Ovis aries: one gene and its partners. The main gene of each other region encodes a partner of the protein of the gene in region 2 in a complex. Links are inferred from orthologs where the notes say so. Each region holds a gene or a part of one and is shown on either strand. Other genes may lie near its edges.

Region 1 (5,311 bases), on a different chromosome or scaffold from region 2:
ATTTCCTAAGTGATAGACAAACATTTCTAGGCAACTAGATTCTTCCACATTAGATTTTATTAACTTTGATTTTTCTAACTAAAATGTATTGTTATATATACTAAATTAACATCATTAGTATTTAATGACTTTTTTTGCATTAAAGGTTAAATAGTTTAAAACTTATATATACCTCAACAAGCTGTGCTTTATTAAGCCCGGGTCTGGTTGGGAGTTTGAAGTGTCTTTTGTATCTCCTAAGCGTATTCACCTGTAGTTGGTATAAATCAACCTAGAAAAAAATTAACGTATATGAATTAGTTCATATCATTTGCTAATGACTAATATTTGCTCTAAAAAACATTTCAACTTCAACACAGTGAAAATTTAATTCCATTATTTTAAAAGGCTTTTAAATAATCAAAACTAAAAATGCATTAAACAGTTCAATCTTTTGAGGATGCTTATTAACGACTGGGGACTATAAGAGTTGTCAATTGAGTAGGGAGGTTCAAGAGGGAGGGGACATATGTACACCTATGGCTGATTCATGTTGACGTTTGACAGGAAACAACAAAATTCTGTAAAATAATTATCCTTCAATTAAAAAATAAGTGAATTGTTTTTAAAATTAAAAAAAAAGTGGTCAATTGAAGCCATAACAAGTCAAACTGCATAACTGCATGTTAACTGGCTATATTTAATTTTGCTTTCATTTTTAGAGTTTTCAAATGCTTCAAGTATTTTTAGAATTTGTTCATATTTTTTAAATAAAACTTTCAGAAGTTTTACATTTAACTTACAAACCTTTCACCTACCTCCGGAGTATCAATATCTTGGACAGGTGAATCTCCTCCATCATCATCACTCCCTTTTCTCTTTCTTCTGTTTCGCACGCTCTGAATTAAGTTTTTATGATAATCACAAATGTAAAGATGTCTTGCCTGGAACAGAAAAGTTTCACAGACAACTTAAGATTACAGGAAAATGTGTCTATGTATTAGTAAAATACATAGTTACGGTGAATTATTAAAAATATAAACATTAGTAACAGGCCATTGTTAAGACAACGCATGTTTCTTGCTACTCTTAAGTCCTGAACCCAGTTAAAACAAGGCATGTTTCTTGCTACTCTTAAGTCCTGAACCCAGTTAAAACATATCATGTCTAGCAATATTGTTAAAGAGGCCTGGGGGTGGGGTGGGGAGAAGTGCCAGTAAGGGAAGGGAGAGAAGCAGAGAATGAGAAATTCCTATGCTCTGGATTCTGTCATCAAATTGCAGCGATGGTGAACTAGATTAGTTCAGCTATGCCGCTTTTTTAAACAAGGGCAAAAAGATGCTGGCCACAATTTTGCTATTTGATAGTATTTTCTTTACTTAAAAGAGCATTTAATAATATTAATACCATAGTGAATGCTTCCTAATCTAACTTAATACTCAAATTATAATCCAGACACAAAACCATCCACTTTTGACAAATAAATTGATTTCACATCCTTACTAAGTTTAAATTTGAATTATGAACTTTCCTGAGTATTAAATAAAAGCATTTATTTATAATAAGTTTTTCCAACCAAAGCAATGTGAAATGATTCAAGTATACCTGGAAAGTTTCAACTACTGGAAACAGAACTGAGGAACTAACTGAATAGGCAGAAAGTATCCCAAATAAAGTTCCCAAAAACGTTAATTATATAGTTCTGAGAGCTGTACGGTAGCCTCTGAAATACTGGGTTTTATACATCAGCAGTTACTTCTTAAAAAAAAATTGAGGAATGAGCTAACAGGTTTTCAAATTAAACTTTGAGCTAAAGTGCAAGTTAAGAAGATGCAGGACGTGTGCTGGTTCTCACATCTTGTGATTTATTACCGCTCCCCAGGGCTCGGAAAAGTGGAAACGGTCGTTTCTAAAAACCTCCTAGATGGTCAGAGGAACAGACCTGCGAAAGGACGAAGAAAGAAACCCTGATGGCTGCCAAACCGAGGGCTAACCCGCAGCGGCTGCCCGCTCCCCACGTCTCGAGCAGTTCCCCTAGATGATGACACGGCCGCGCGGCTCGCAGCCGGGGGCCCCCCACCCCGCACCCGCGGGACCCGGGACAGGGTCCTAGTCGCCCGCAGCGTCCGGTCCTGGCTGCACTCCATTCCTGGACCGGGGAAGCTACCCGCTCGGGCAGCAAAACAAAGAAGGTGCCTCGGTTCCAGAAGGAGCCGTGGGTTGCAGGACAGCTACTCTGGGTTCTCGGCGCTGCCGCCCCCTTTGTTTCACCACTGACCCCCTCAGAGCAGGAGTGGAGGCCCTGCGCGGGAGGGGCCGCGGGAGCGGGTCCGGGAGGCGCGAGAGTGTCTACTGCGGACGGCGGGCCGAGTTGCAGCACCTTGTTGTTTGCTTCCTACTAGGGACCCCGGAACGGGCTCGCGAGGCACCCAGGTCTGGGGCTCCCGCACCCCCACCGGCACGCGTCTGCCCTTCTCCCCGAGCGCCCCGGGGGGCGGGCAGAGCAGATTCGTACCGCCGTCACTTACGCTCTTATCCAACTCGATCTTCACCTTCTTCTGGGAGATGCTCTTCTGGATCCTCTTGCTGAAGCTGGCGTTGCCCGCCGCCCGGCCGCACCGCTCGCCGTCCTCGCGCAGACAGCACAGCTGCCCGGGGCCCGGCCCTGCCGCTCCCGGCGGCCCCGCCGCCGAGACCGCCCCTGCACCCGGCACCTCGGCCCCGGCGCCAGCCCCAGCCCCGTTCCCGGCTGACGCGGCGGCGGCAGAAGCGGCGGCCACGGCGGCCACAGCGGCGGCCGCGTCCCCGCCGCGGCTCATGTCCTCGGGAGTGAAGCCGTTCATGTTCCCGCACTCGCAGAGCCGCGCTGACAGAAGCCTCGCTCTCCGCGCCGCCTGCCTCTCTGGAGATGCCGGGGTCTCGGCGGTCCCTCGCACCTGCTTAGCGGAGACTATTAACTCTGAGCCAGGGTCCTCCGGCCAAGACCACGAGGCCCCGGCCTGCTGCTGTCTGCAGGCACAGGATCAGTGGACGGGGCGTGGGATCGGGAACTGGAATCTGGCGTCGCCTGGAGCTGGGACGCTGCTCACTGTCACATGGAGACTCCTCAGCAGTCGGACCTCGATACCCCCGCCTCCCTTCGGCCCTCGATCTGCGCAAGCACATTGCGCCCTCGCCCGTCCCGCCCCTTCCACTCTGCCCGCAGGGCACCACGGGAATTGTAGTTCTCTTTTGGGGAGCCAACCTAAGCTCCAGTCTGACATCGAGCTTCATGGTTTAGGAGAACTTCTTATCCCAGCATTCATCGCGCGGAGGCGGATCTGGATTTTTTTTTTTTTTCGGTAATACATTGAGAAAACAGGGGCGTGTGGTGGGGGGCGGGGCGGGGGGCTTGTGATGTTTTCTGGCTCTGGTAGCTCCCGGGAAGTTGAGCTGTGTTTAGCTCCTGGATTTTGCAGAGCTGGCACTTTAGACGAAGAGGTCACTTAACTCCTGAAGCGAAGCACAAAAGGCGGGAGGCGGGGGTAGGAGGGGAGGGGGTGCGAGGGTGGGAACGGAGGGGATACGAGGGGAGGGAAGGTGTGGGGGAAAAAAGTTTCGGGCCTTTTTTGTATCTGTGAAAAAATTTTTGATGTAAAGACGTCTTTTGTGGGGCTTCCCACGTGGCTCAGTGGTAAAGAATCCGCCTGCCAAATGCAGGAGACATGGGTTCGACCCCTGGGTGGGGAAGATCCCCTGGAGAAGGAAATGGCAACCCACTCCAGTATTGTTGCTTAGAGAAGCCCGTGGACAGAGGAGCCTGGCAGGCTACAGTCCATGGAGTTGCAAGAGTCAGACACGACTTAGCAACTAAACAACGTTTTTGTGGGAAACCCAAACCAAGAAGAACGGGGCTCTGGCAGTTTTGGGGTCCCAGAGGCCCCATGTCTAACCCCATGGGGTCTGGGTAGCAGCTCTGCAGACTGACGCCCGAGATGGTCCATCAGGACGCCTGCGGGGGCGGTGGGCAGGGAGGGGTGACGTGCGTCCGAACCTCCCCTTCGGCAGGAGGACTGGAGGCTCTCCAGATCCGAGCATTGTCCGTGCGAGGATCGCGCTGGCTTGCGGGGCGGACTCTTGTCTACCGCCTCCTGAGGTGGAGCTCCGGATGAGTGGACTTAAAGGGGCTGCTTTCCGCCTCCAGCCCGGGCACCTCCACTTTGTCCTCGAAGGAACCGGGAACCTGTCTAATCACACGTGAAAAATAAAAAGCAGAACCCCTCTGAGTTCCGGTCAGCCACGAGCTCCCAGAGACCGAAGGCGCGCGCTCGGCCGAGATCGCCGGGAAAGGGGTGCTCCGGATCCGTGAGCGCGCGCACGCGTGTCTGTGTACGTGTCTGTGTGCGCGGGCGTGTGGAGGGCGGTGTGGAAGGTTGGGAGTGGCTGGTACGAAAGCTACACCTTTGCTAATGGTAGCGCGTCATTTATCGTACGTATATCCTGTTCAATCCCATTGTTTAAACAAAAATAGAAAGCAGTAGGGTTTTTTTTTGAAAGCTCTTTTATATTTGCAGAGTAAACTGAGTGATAAATGAGTTTTTTAAAATGTAAACTGTCATCTACCCTGAAATTCACAGCCATCCTGTCCATCTGTGCACTTCCGCTCTGCTGCTGCTACTGCTGCTGCTAAGTCGCTTCAGTCATGTCGAACTCTGTGCGACCCCAGGGACGGGAGCCCACCAGGCTCCCCTGTCCCTGGGATTCTCCAGGCAAGAACACCGGAGTGGGTTGCCCTCTAAGAAACAGCAAAGGAAGAAAAACATTTTAAATAAATGTAGTGGGCAAAAAATCCTGAATGGTAAGTGTTGTGTTTTCTTTTCAAGCTGCACCGTCCAATAGGGTGTCTGCTTGCCTTATGTGGATATCGAGCACTTTAAATGTGGTTAACTGTGAATGAAAAACTGAATTGTTCATTTTAATTCATTAAAAAATTTTAAACTGATTTCACTTACTGGAAAACTTCTAAATATGTTTGGAACAATCTATTTTTTCGACTTAAATGTTAAGTCTAAACTTAAAACCTGAACTGAGATGCCAGTATATATAAACTACCAGCAGGTTTTCAAAGACTTAGTAACATTTTTCTTAAGAATATTAATTTAGTAATTTTTTTACATTAATTACAAGTTCAAATTATATTTTTGCTATACTGGGTTAAATATAACATTAAAGTTGACTTGTTTCTACTTTGCAAAATATGCCTATTTTAACATTTAAAACTACACATATAGCTCACATTATGTTTGTATTAGATATTGTTGGCTTAAAGTATTAAAATGCAGAATAATACTTC
Region 2 (4,243 bases):
ATCTCACCCGAGAGCCTTCTGGCTTCCCGACTTGCCCACCACAACCTCCACATGGCAGCTGGAGCTCTGAACCACCTCCCCCGCTTCCTGGGGCAGTCTGTGCTTCACGCTCTGGCCCAGAAGCCAGGTCTCAGCCTCCGTGGTGTCCTCTGCGCACCCCACCTCCCCATCCACTCACCAGCGCCCGCCACACCCTGCCACTCCCTCGGACTTGGCCCCTTTCTTTGTGTCACTCTGGGGTGGACACAAGGTCTGACTCCACAGGAGCCATTCCTGCTTCCTCTTCTTTTCTTGGCAAACAGGATTCCAGTTTTGATTGGGTGACAACGAACTTGAGGCAAACTGTTTTTTCTGCAGGCCTGGAGACAGATCCCGTGTCCAGGATAACTGGCCATTTCCTTTCCTGCCGCCAGGGATCAGTTTAGAAAGAACATGGGCTACAGTCCTGGCCAAGGGGGTATGAGGCGAGTTCTGCTAGGCGCTGCTACAAGGGGTTTCTGTGTGTGTGTGTGTTTTCAGTCATGTCTGACTCTTTGTGACCCCATGGACTGTACCCCATGGACCCGCCAGGCTCCTCTGTCCATGGGATTTTCCAGGTAAGAATACTGGAATGGGTTGCCATTTCCTTCTCCAGGGATCTTCCCAACTCAAGGATCAAAGTCGCCTCTCCTGCGTCTTCTGCACTGGCAGGTGGGTTCTTTACCACTAGCGCCACCTGAGAATGTCCTAATGTCCCTGGGAAGCCCCACCACAAGCTTTCCTCCCTCTAAAGAAGGGAAGCAAGGCAGGGAGGGACGTGCTGTCTGCCCTGTGTCCTCTGAAGGTTGGGGTGCTGGTGGAGGAGGAGGGGGTCCTTGCTCTTGCCAACGCTGGTCACCGCTGGCAGGCTTGAACTTCACAAGAGAGCTGCTCACACCACTACCACATGTCCTGAGAGCTTAAACCTAGGCCGACTCTGTTACTATGGCCAAAGCCACATCCGCGATCGATATCTAAACTGGCCTCTTTGCTGACTTATCACTGCTACCTTCCGCTCCTAAACTGTGAGCTCTGTGAGGAGAGGGGCCCTGTCCCTCCGTGTCATCATGTCCCCACTGTATGGCCTGGGCACTGTCTGGCCTAACAACAGCAGGTGCTTAATAAATGCTGGCAGGGACTCAGCTTACTCATCCCTGTGGTTCCTGGAGGGGCAGGGACTCAAGCCTTCACAGGATCAATAGGCGAGGAAGCCAGAAGAGAGCTGCTTAAGAACCCAATTTAATAAGACTTACAAGTCGACACGTACAAAAAAAGAAAAACCAAACCTAACAATGTACAAGTCACGTCAAGACTAGGGGCAGAATCTAGAATGCAGAGAGACCCTCCGCGAGGGGCCTTGGTGCGGTGGAGATCTGATGGTAATTCCCACTGATTCTCTACATCTTGGCCTACTGAATAAACGTAACCAAAGCCTGAAATGGAGGCTAAGACTGAAGAGTTACCCAGACCTAACCTGTTCCCTCCCCAAGCCTCACTGCTCCAGGAAGAGGCGAACTGACAGAAGGGGAGAGACTATGAACCTAAGAGAATGGAGCCTCCGATACAGCGTCAGGGCCTTCACGGTGTTCAGATGACCGTGTGTCCCCGGCTCGTGACCCAGTGCCCGCCATGTCTGCAAGCTGGGCTGGCCCCTGGCAACAGGGACGGGTTGGGGAGGCAGAGGGGCACCTCGGGGAGACTTGCTGCTTTGTCCCCGCTGCCACCCCGCCCTGAATCACCACTGCAGGGGCCCGATGTCAGCCCCCAGCTCCTCCTCCTCCTCCTCTTCCTCCTTCAGCTGGAAGGGCTTCACCGGCCACTTGACCCTGACGATGGGCTCCACGTGGTCCTGCAGCCGGTGCCGCTTCATGTGGGCATTTCGACTCTTGATCTTATCGAACACCCTGCAGAGGCACCAGAGAACATGGGGATCAGAGCAGGGGGAGGCGGGCGGGGGGACCCTGAGAGGATGGAGAGGGGCTGAGGGCAGGCGGTGCAGGCGCCTCCAGGGAGCTCAGTACCTCTCACACTCCCGGCAGGGAAAGGCGCCCTGGCCCTCCACGCTCCCAGGTGCCTCGGGGCTCCGCTTGGTGCCAGAGCTCGGGCTGGAGTTGAGGATGGACTCCCTCCTGTAACTCTTGGTCTTTATCTTTAGTTCGGGGGTTGGACGGTGGCTGGGTCTCTCCCGAGGACTGCAAGTGACCTGCAGGGGTGGGCAGAGATGACAAAAGGGTGCTGAGCCACCCCCTCACCCTGCTAAGGGACCAGCACAGACCCAGAGCCCATGGGAACATCGCCCATGGAAAGCCCCTCCTGCTGGGAGTACCCCCACCCCTGCCCAGCATGGATAGGCACCAGGCCTCCGGATCGGGCTGAACTCCAGACCCCCTTCCCCGAGACCCCCTACCTTGGCTTCCGCCCTGTCTACTTCATCTGGCTCCCTCCTGACTCTCTTTTCTGGCCCTGGGGCTCGGCCGCAGTCAAACTTGATCATTTTTTTCCAGATGTAGTAATACTCGACACACTGGGCTACGGTCTTTGTCTGGATCTGATCGGGGAAGACAGAAGGTGGCTGTGGACAGCGCCTCAGGAGCAGTAGTGAGTGGGGCCTCAATGCCCTAGAGCCCCTCCCCCTCGGGGGCCAGCTGCCACTTTTTGAAAGCCCTCCTGAACTCTCTCCTGCTATGGCCTGGCGGGCCCCTTTGCTAAAGGGGCAGAGAATCACAGACTCCTTCCAAGGGGTGAGGGGCTCAGAGAGGAAACCACCAGAGCCCACACCAGCTAAGCTCTGCACACTCTGAGCAACACGGCCGGCCCAGGAACCCTTCCCTCCAGGGATATGCACACGGAGGTATGCATTTGCTGTGACACCATGTGGAGCCGTGTGTCTATGTATCAGGACTAATTAAAGCAGAGCACCCTCATGCAGTGGGTACCTCATGGCCTCTGCGACAGCTGGGGGGCCCTACAGTAAGTACTGAGGGAAGAGGCCCACAAGAGGACACACGATGGGACCTCCTTAGTGATCCAGTAGTTAAGAATCTGCCTGCCAATGCAGGGGATACAGGTTTGATCCCTGGTCTGGGAAGATTTCACATGCTGGGGAGCAGCTAAGCCCTCGCACCCTACAGCCCTAGCTCTACAACGAGAGAAACCCCTCTGAGAAGCCCAGACTGCACCTGGAGAAAACCCCCACACAAGGAAGACCCCGTGCAGCCCGGAATGAAGGTTTTGAAAAAGAGAAGGGGACACGCAATGGAATACTCCTCAGCAAACTGATGAATTACTGGCGCACACGACAGCGTGGATGAAGCGCAAAACTGTCATGCAGACTGGAAGGAGCCAAAGCAGAGCACATGCTGCATGATTACTCCATTTCTATAAAGCTCTAGAAAATGCAAACTAACTCACAGTGGCAGGAAGCAGACAGGAGTTGATGGCAGGAAGGAGAGGTTACAAAGGCGCAGGAGGGAGCTTTTGACCCCATGGACTGTAGCCTGCCAGGCTTCTCTGTCCATGGGATTTTTCAGGTGAGTATTCTGGAGTGGCTGCCATTCCCTTCTCCACGGGATTTTCCCGACCCAGGAATCGAACTTGCCTTTCCTGTGTCTCCTGCACTGGCAGACAGGTTCTTTACCTGCTGAGCCACCGGGGACAGGTACGTCAAAACATCGAATCTTACACTTCGATTATGTGCAGTTTTGTGGACCAGTTTTTTAAAAAAGCAAGATAATCAGCAGGATATCAAATATACACTCTCATCATTTTTTGAGAAAGTGTACATATGTGTGTAAACTGCACGGACAGTAAATGCCTGTCAGGTTACAGTCAGTGGACAGTGGGCTGGGGCCTGGAGGGCTTTGTTTTGAACACAGGCTTCTTCTCTGTACTGTTTGGGGCTGTTCTCAGCGATGGCTTTTTAAAGTTGTCAGTCGTTCACAGCAGGAGCGGAGAGTCACTCCCGACAGGCCCTGCGGCTCTAGCCCCTTGGCTCGGTGAGGGAACCTCCTCTATGCCAGCCTGCCGCGTGCGCTTACCGTCTTGTGTATCAAGTTAAAGTCCTTCTTGTGGGCACAGAATGCCTTCTTAAAGAGCCTCTTCTCCATGGGGGTCCAGATGTCTGAACCTAGTAAGAAACAGCCGGGGGGCATTTCTTCCTCTGGGACCACAGTCACGGCCCCTCCTTCTTCAGGCTGCCGCGACCCGGTACCAATCAGATGCCAGG
Region 3 (5,302 bases), on a different chromosome or scaffold from region 2:
TTATCTATTAAACAAGTAATAAAAATACTTGCATTCCAAGCACAGGCTGAGCACATTACACTTAAGTCATTTCATCCTCACAACAGCTTGGCAAAACTAATGGAGCTGACCCTATGGGGCCTTGGAGGACAGGGAGCAGGCTCCTCTCCCATATCCTCTGCTTTAAGGCTCCTCAATAACAGCATCTGATGCACATTTCCTGAGTTGTCTAATAGATGTTAAAGCCACCATGAAGTGGAAGAAATGAACTACGTGATGAACATGAGCAGAGCCTAAGGGTTAATAATGTTACTCCCTGTGATACTACACGGCCACCTCACCATCAGCCAATCAGAGAATTGTGCACAAGCTGATCACATACCCTGGGATGCCCCTCCCTCACGTTGTCTTTAAAATGCTTTGCTGAAACCCACTGGGGAGTCTGGGTGTTTCAAGCCCTAGTCTAGTCCCCGGAGGGCTTCCCTGATGGCTCAGTGGTAAGGAACCCACCTGCCAATGCAGGAGATGAGGGTTTGAAGATCCCATGGAGAAGGAAACAGCAACCCACTCCAGTGGTCTTGCTTGGGAAATTCCATGGACAGAGGCGCCTGGTGGGCTACAGTCCATGGGGTTGCAGAGTCGGACATGACTTAGTGACTAAATAACAATAACAGAAACAAACTAGTGCCCAGCCTCCTTGCTTGGTGCTGTCCAGCAGTAAATGTTGCACTTTCCTTCACCACTACCTGGTGTCAGTAGATTGGTTTTACTGCGTGTGGGTGAGCAGACCCAAACTTGCTTGGGCTTCCCAGGTGGCGCTGCAGGTAAAGAACCCACTTGCCAATGCAGGAGACTTAAGAGATGCAGATTTGATCCCTGGGTTAGGGAGATCCCCTGGAGAAGGACGTGGCAACCCAGTCCAGTATTCTTGCCTGAAGAATCCCATGGACAGAGGAGCCTGGCGGGCTACAGTCCATAGGGTCACAAAGAGTTGGACATGACTGAAGCAACTTAGCATACACATGGGTGAGGAGACCCAAACCTGCTTTGGTAACAATAAGAGGTATTCAATTACCCCCCAAAGAGAAAAAACATTCTTGGAGTGGGGATTCCAAATTGGAAAACTTTAGGCATGTGTAGGTACTAGAAAGAGCTAGGGAGACTGTGATGCAGGGAAGGATCACCGATGAGTCTTAACTCCTATTTTTTTTTCTTTGTCTCTGCATCCTTCTCACCTTCATGTACTTGTTGAAGACTGTCTGGATCTCCTCGTTGATGCTGGGCTGCAGGACAGCTCGGAGGAGGTCCATGGAGATGGCAGGATCTGTGAAACTGCAGAGGGAGGGAGGGGAAGAAGCCACAGTCAGGAGGCATGTTCCAAACATTTCTTTTCCCAATCTGCCCAGCCAATTACTGACATAAGATCCTTCAACAACAATAACAGATGGCTTTGGGACTTCCCTGGCAGTCCAGTGGTTAAAACGCTATGCTTCCACTATAGGAAGCACTGGTTTGATCCTTGGTCAGGGAACTAAGATCCTGCATGCCATGTAGCGCGGCTAGAAAAAGAAAAAAACAAACCACCCCCGAATAAACAAAAAGATGACTTTTACTGAAAACTAGCTATGAGTCCAAGTTCTGTGCAAACCACATAGATGTGGGACTTCATTTCATACTCATAACTCTATGAAATGGGCACTATTTTTAAAGTGTTTTAGCAGAATAATACTTAATATACTGTAAGTTTTAGTGAACATCCATTTAATCACTACTTAGGTCAAGACTTCCCAGGTAGTGCTACATGTAAAGAATGCGCCTGAGATGCAGGAGATGAGGGTTCGATCCCTGGGTCTGAAGATTCCCCTGGAGGAGGGCATGGCTCCCCACTCCAGTATTCTCGGCTGGAGAATCCCATGGTGGGCTACAGTCCATAGGGTTGCAAAGACCTGGACACCGTTGAAGCGAATTAGCATACATACACACATACAGGTCAACAAACATATACAACCAGCATCCCAAAGACCCATCTTGCGCTCCCTCCCTTCCCTGAGATGGAGACTATCAGGCTTACGTTTCTCATAATCTTCATGCTATTCTGCCTCTTTGGCAGCTTTAAATACAAGAGCCATTGAACGTTAGGGATCTTGGGCATTGTCTAATCAACACACCTCTCCCTCGTTTTGAGTTTGGGGGAAATGACTTGCTCAAGGTCACACAGAGAGTTACTGAATCTGAATCTCCTCCTTCTACTGGCTGATGAACTCTTTCTTAGCCCTGTGCAGTGGGGACCGCAAAGCTGCCTTCCACGCCAGGGCCCTGGAGAGACATCCCGTCCAGGGCTAGCCTTACCTTGTGGTCATCTGTGAGCGGCGGCCCCTCCGCTGCACTTGCCGGTGCTTGATCATTATGTTCCAAGGGTTCTGTGGGGACCAAGGGAGCAGATGTCACCGAGGTCCGTGACACTGGCGTGGAGGTGGAGCGTGGGCATTAAGTTACACCTCAGACATTCCTGCTTCTCGGGTGCTTTCACCGTCTCTGCCACCTTGGGCTAGGGCGGTGCAGGGGAAGGCCCGGCAGGGGAAGAGGAACAGAGCAAAGTTTCCTGCCTCCAAAGTCCCAACCCTACTTTTCATAAAAGGGTGGAGGAAGGGGACCAGTGTTTACCGAGGGTCTACTCTGCCAGATGATGCGCTGGGCGCTTTACCCGCATTTATTATCCCTCCCCCTGACAACTTTAAGAGGCAGGGGCTAGACATCTCCATCTTCCCGAAGATAAAACTGGGGCTGAGAGGCTTGACAGGGCTGGCCCACGTCACCTAGCTAGGAGGGCGGCACCAGAATTTGAAGCCAGGTCGTCGGACTGTGACAATGCCAACCCCCTCGGTAGATCAGCCGCCGCGTTCTCTCCCCCGCGGGCCAGGGTCCCGGGAGCCCGAGGCCCTGCCCGGCCCGAGCCCAGGCCCCGCCTGGGCCTCCCCGGGGGCGCCCTCACCGTGAGAACCAGCTGCCCCGCTGCGCCCGCGTCTCCCAGCTCGGGGCCACCCCGCTCTGCCCCGCCGGGTCCCCGCGGCTGCTCAACGTCGCCAGTGGCCCCCATGGCGCCACGGGCCCCCACAACTTCAGCCCGACTCTGCCACCGGCCGGAAAGTGGCCCCGTGACGTCATTGGAGCGCGCCGCCCTCAGGCTCCGGAAGCGCGACGCGGCGAGCGGTGGGGTTGCCAGGGAAACCGCGCCGCTGGTTCTCGTCCGGTTGCAGCTGCTTAGAGGCGTTGCGTGTCGGGTGGCCTTTCTGCCTCTCGGGGGCGGCCTCGCTTCGGGTGTGACTGGGGGTGTTCAGTCAAGGGTCGTTCTCTGGCCGGGCCAAGGCCCGTGGAGAAGTGCGGGGCGGGAGGAAGGGAGCAGGTTTCCATGGGCTGGAGCTGGGGAGAGGAGGGGGGCGTTTGGTACGGGGGCGTCTGCGGTTGTCTTTGGAAAACTAGATTTTAATATGCTCCCAGAATTGGATGGGCCTCATGCGAGGACCCCCAAACCCAACAAGAGGTGGGGGCGTCTGGCCCATGGCATCCTAAACACTCACTCAGGGGTCCCTCCAGGCCTTTACCCCAGGGGTTGCCTCTTGGCGTCGGAAGGCATCTAATGAAGATCCTGGGCTTCTCTCCCCAGATGGTTGATTCTGGGATAGGTTGAGGATGCAGGGGTTTCACAGCTGTGGAGTTCCCCAGATCCCCTTTTGCTCTGCATTAGAGGTAAGACATCCATGAATAGAATTGGACCTACTTTTACCAGGTCATAATATGGGGTAGTAGAAGGTGCATGAGTTTTGCAGTTAGAAAGATCTGAGTTCAAATTCATTATGATAAGATGATAAAGAACACTGGCTATGGAATTGGACTGCTTACCTTTGTTCTGGGCTTCCCAAGTGGCTCAGTGGTCAAAGAATCCTCCTGGAACACAGGAGATGCAGGAGACGTCTGTTCCATCCCTGGGTCAGAAGATTCCCTGGAATGGCAACCCACTCCTGGTATTCTTGCCCGGGGAATCCCATGGACAGAGGAGCCTGGTGGGCTACAGTCCATAGAGTTACAAAGACTCAGACGCTGCAAAAAGTCAGACATGACCGAAGAAACTGAGCATGCACACACGCACCTTTGTTCTACCACTTATTAGCTGCGGCCTACATTTCTTTCTGCGATGCAGTTTCCCCATCTGTAGAATGGGGATAATAGTATTTAACTCATAGGGTTGTAGTGAGAATTAAGTGAGCTAACTTATGTAAAGTACTTAGACCCTTGGCAGTAATAAACCTTCAAACAATGCTATCTGACATTCCTGTTATTAAATTCCAAAAGCCACCACTTACTAGCTTAATGACCTTGGGCAGTTTTCCCTCTAAAAAAAGAATAAGTTTTCTTACTTTTGCAAGTTAGTTGTGAGAAATAAAATATGTCAAGCACATATTAGATCAACAAATGTTCATTTATCAGCCTTAAAATAATAAGGTGACTTTCTGGCAACAAACTCCTAGACCCTATTTAGGTTTTTTATCTTGTGCCTTGAATGTCCCCTGCCCTTTAACCTTGTTAGACTAAGCAGAGCCAGTGGACACTATTAAGTATCATGGTTAATCAAAGGGACAGATAAAGAAAAATAAAAAGAAATATAGGAAGAAGAGATAAAGAAAGGGAGTCTATATGACCTAGGTTATTCCTTGAGTCAGCAACTGTTCTTTTGAGTTTTGTCAACTAGCCTTCCTATAGTCCAAAAATGTCCTATATGGGCCAGAGTGACCAAGATGTAGGTTTTTGGTGCATTTATGTTAGTTCTGAAGAAATTCAAACACTACTTTTCTATAGTTTTTGAATAGTTTGTACGCAGTTGGTTCTAGTCTCTGTTTTCTAGGTTGCGATGATGGACAGGAGCCACAGTGCATTTTATTAGCGTTGGTTCTTTTCTTTAGTGGTGTCTTTAGTCCTTTCCTCTCTCATTTCAGCTGTAGCCATGTCCCTGAAAAACCCTCTAGGGCTCTCTTTGATCCAGTGTCTATCCCTCTGTTTTCCCAGCTCCCCCTAGATTCTTCATCATTGTCCCTTGTACAGAGTTTGATCATTCTGATCACATGTGTCTTTTGGTAGCACCAGGAATGTTCCCACACACCAGCAACCAATCACTTTTCTTCTTCTTGTCAGGAGAAGACATCCTTGGGAATTATTGCGAAAGGGAAGGATCTGGGGCTGGGCTTAGGCCAGTCCCCTTGCCTTGCCCTTCCCTCGGTTGATGTTCTGGGCAAGATGTACATGTCTGGCCGGATTGGAGTTTTCGTCT

What was found. Proteins that work in one complex are often made in the same cells at the same time.
Region 1: ZNF541 (region 2) and SAP30 share a complex: the UniProt entries of both Homo sapiens proteins name them as parts of the histone deacetylase complex. The link is inferred for Ovis aries from reciprocal best matches to the Homo sapiens genes ZNF541 and SAP30.
Region 3: ZNF541 (region 2) and DNTTIP1 share a complex: the UniProt entries of both Homo sapiens proteins name them as parts of the histone deacetylase complex. The link is inferred for Ovis aries from reciprocal best matches to the Homo sapiens genes ZNF541 and DNTTIP1.

The regions. Positions count from the first base shown.
Region 1 is NC_056055.1:107,372,610-107,377,920, forward strand, and holds the start of SAP30 (histone deacetylase complex subunit SAP30), read right to left. Parts: upstream 3,135-5,311; 5' UTR 2,823-3,134; coding exon 2,508-2,822; intron 924-2,507; coding exon 798-923; intron 272-797; coding exon 173-271; intron 1-172. UniProt on the Homo sapiens protein: Involved in the functional recruitment of the Sin3-histone deacetylase complex (HDAC) to a specific subset of N-CoR corepressor complexes. Capable of transcription repression by N-CoR.
Region 2 is NC_056067.1:54,251,087-54,255,329, forward strand, and holds the end of ZNF541 (zinc finger protein 541), read right to left. Parts: exon of another isoform or gene 4,145-4,243; coding exon 4,056-4,144; exon of another isoform or gene 2,567-4,055; coding exon 2,426-2,566; intron 2,222-2,425; coding exon 2,040-2,221; intron 1,923-2,039; coding exon 1,754-1,922; 3' UTR 1,242-1,753; downstream 1-1,241. UniProt on the Homo sapiens protein: Transcription regulator which is essential for male fertility and for the completion of meiotic prophase in spermatocytes.
Region 3 is NC_056066.1:74,537,210-74,542,511, reverse strand, and holds the start of DNTTIP1 (deoxynucleotidyltransferase terminal-interacting protein 1), read right to left. Parts: upstream 3,135-5,302; 5' UTR 3,077-3,134; coding exon 2,972-3,076; intron 2,400-2,971; coding exon 2,329-2,399; intron 1,312-2,328; coding exon 1,215-1,311; intron 1-1,214. Other genes in the region: WFDC3 (WAP four-disulfide core domain protein 3), read left to right, coding at 3,670-3,726, 5,167-5,302. UniProt on the Homo sapiens protein: Increases DNTT terminal deoxynucleotidyltransferase activity (in vitro). Also acts as a transcriptional regulator, binding to the consensus sequence 5'-GNTGCATG-3' following an AT-tract.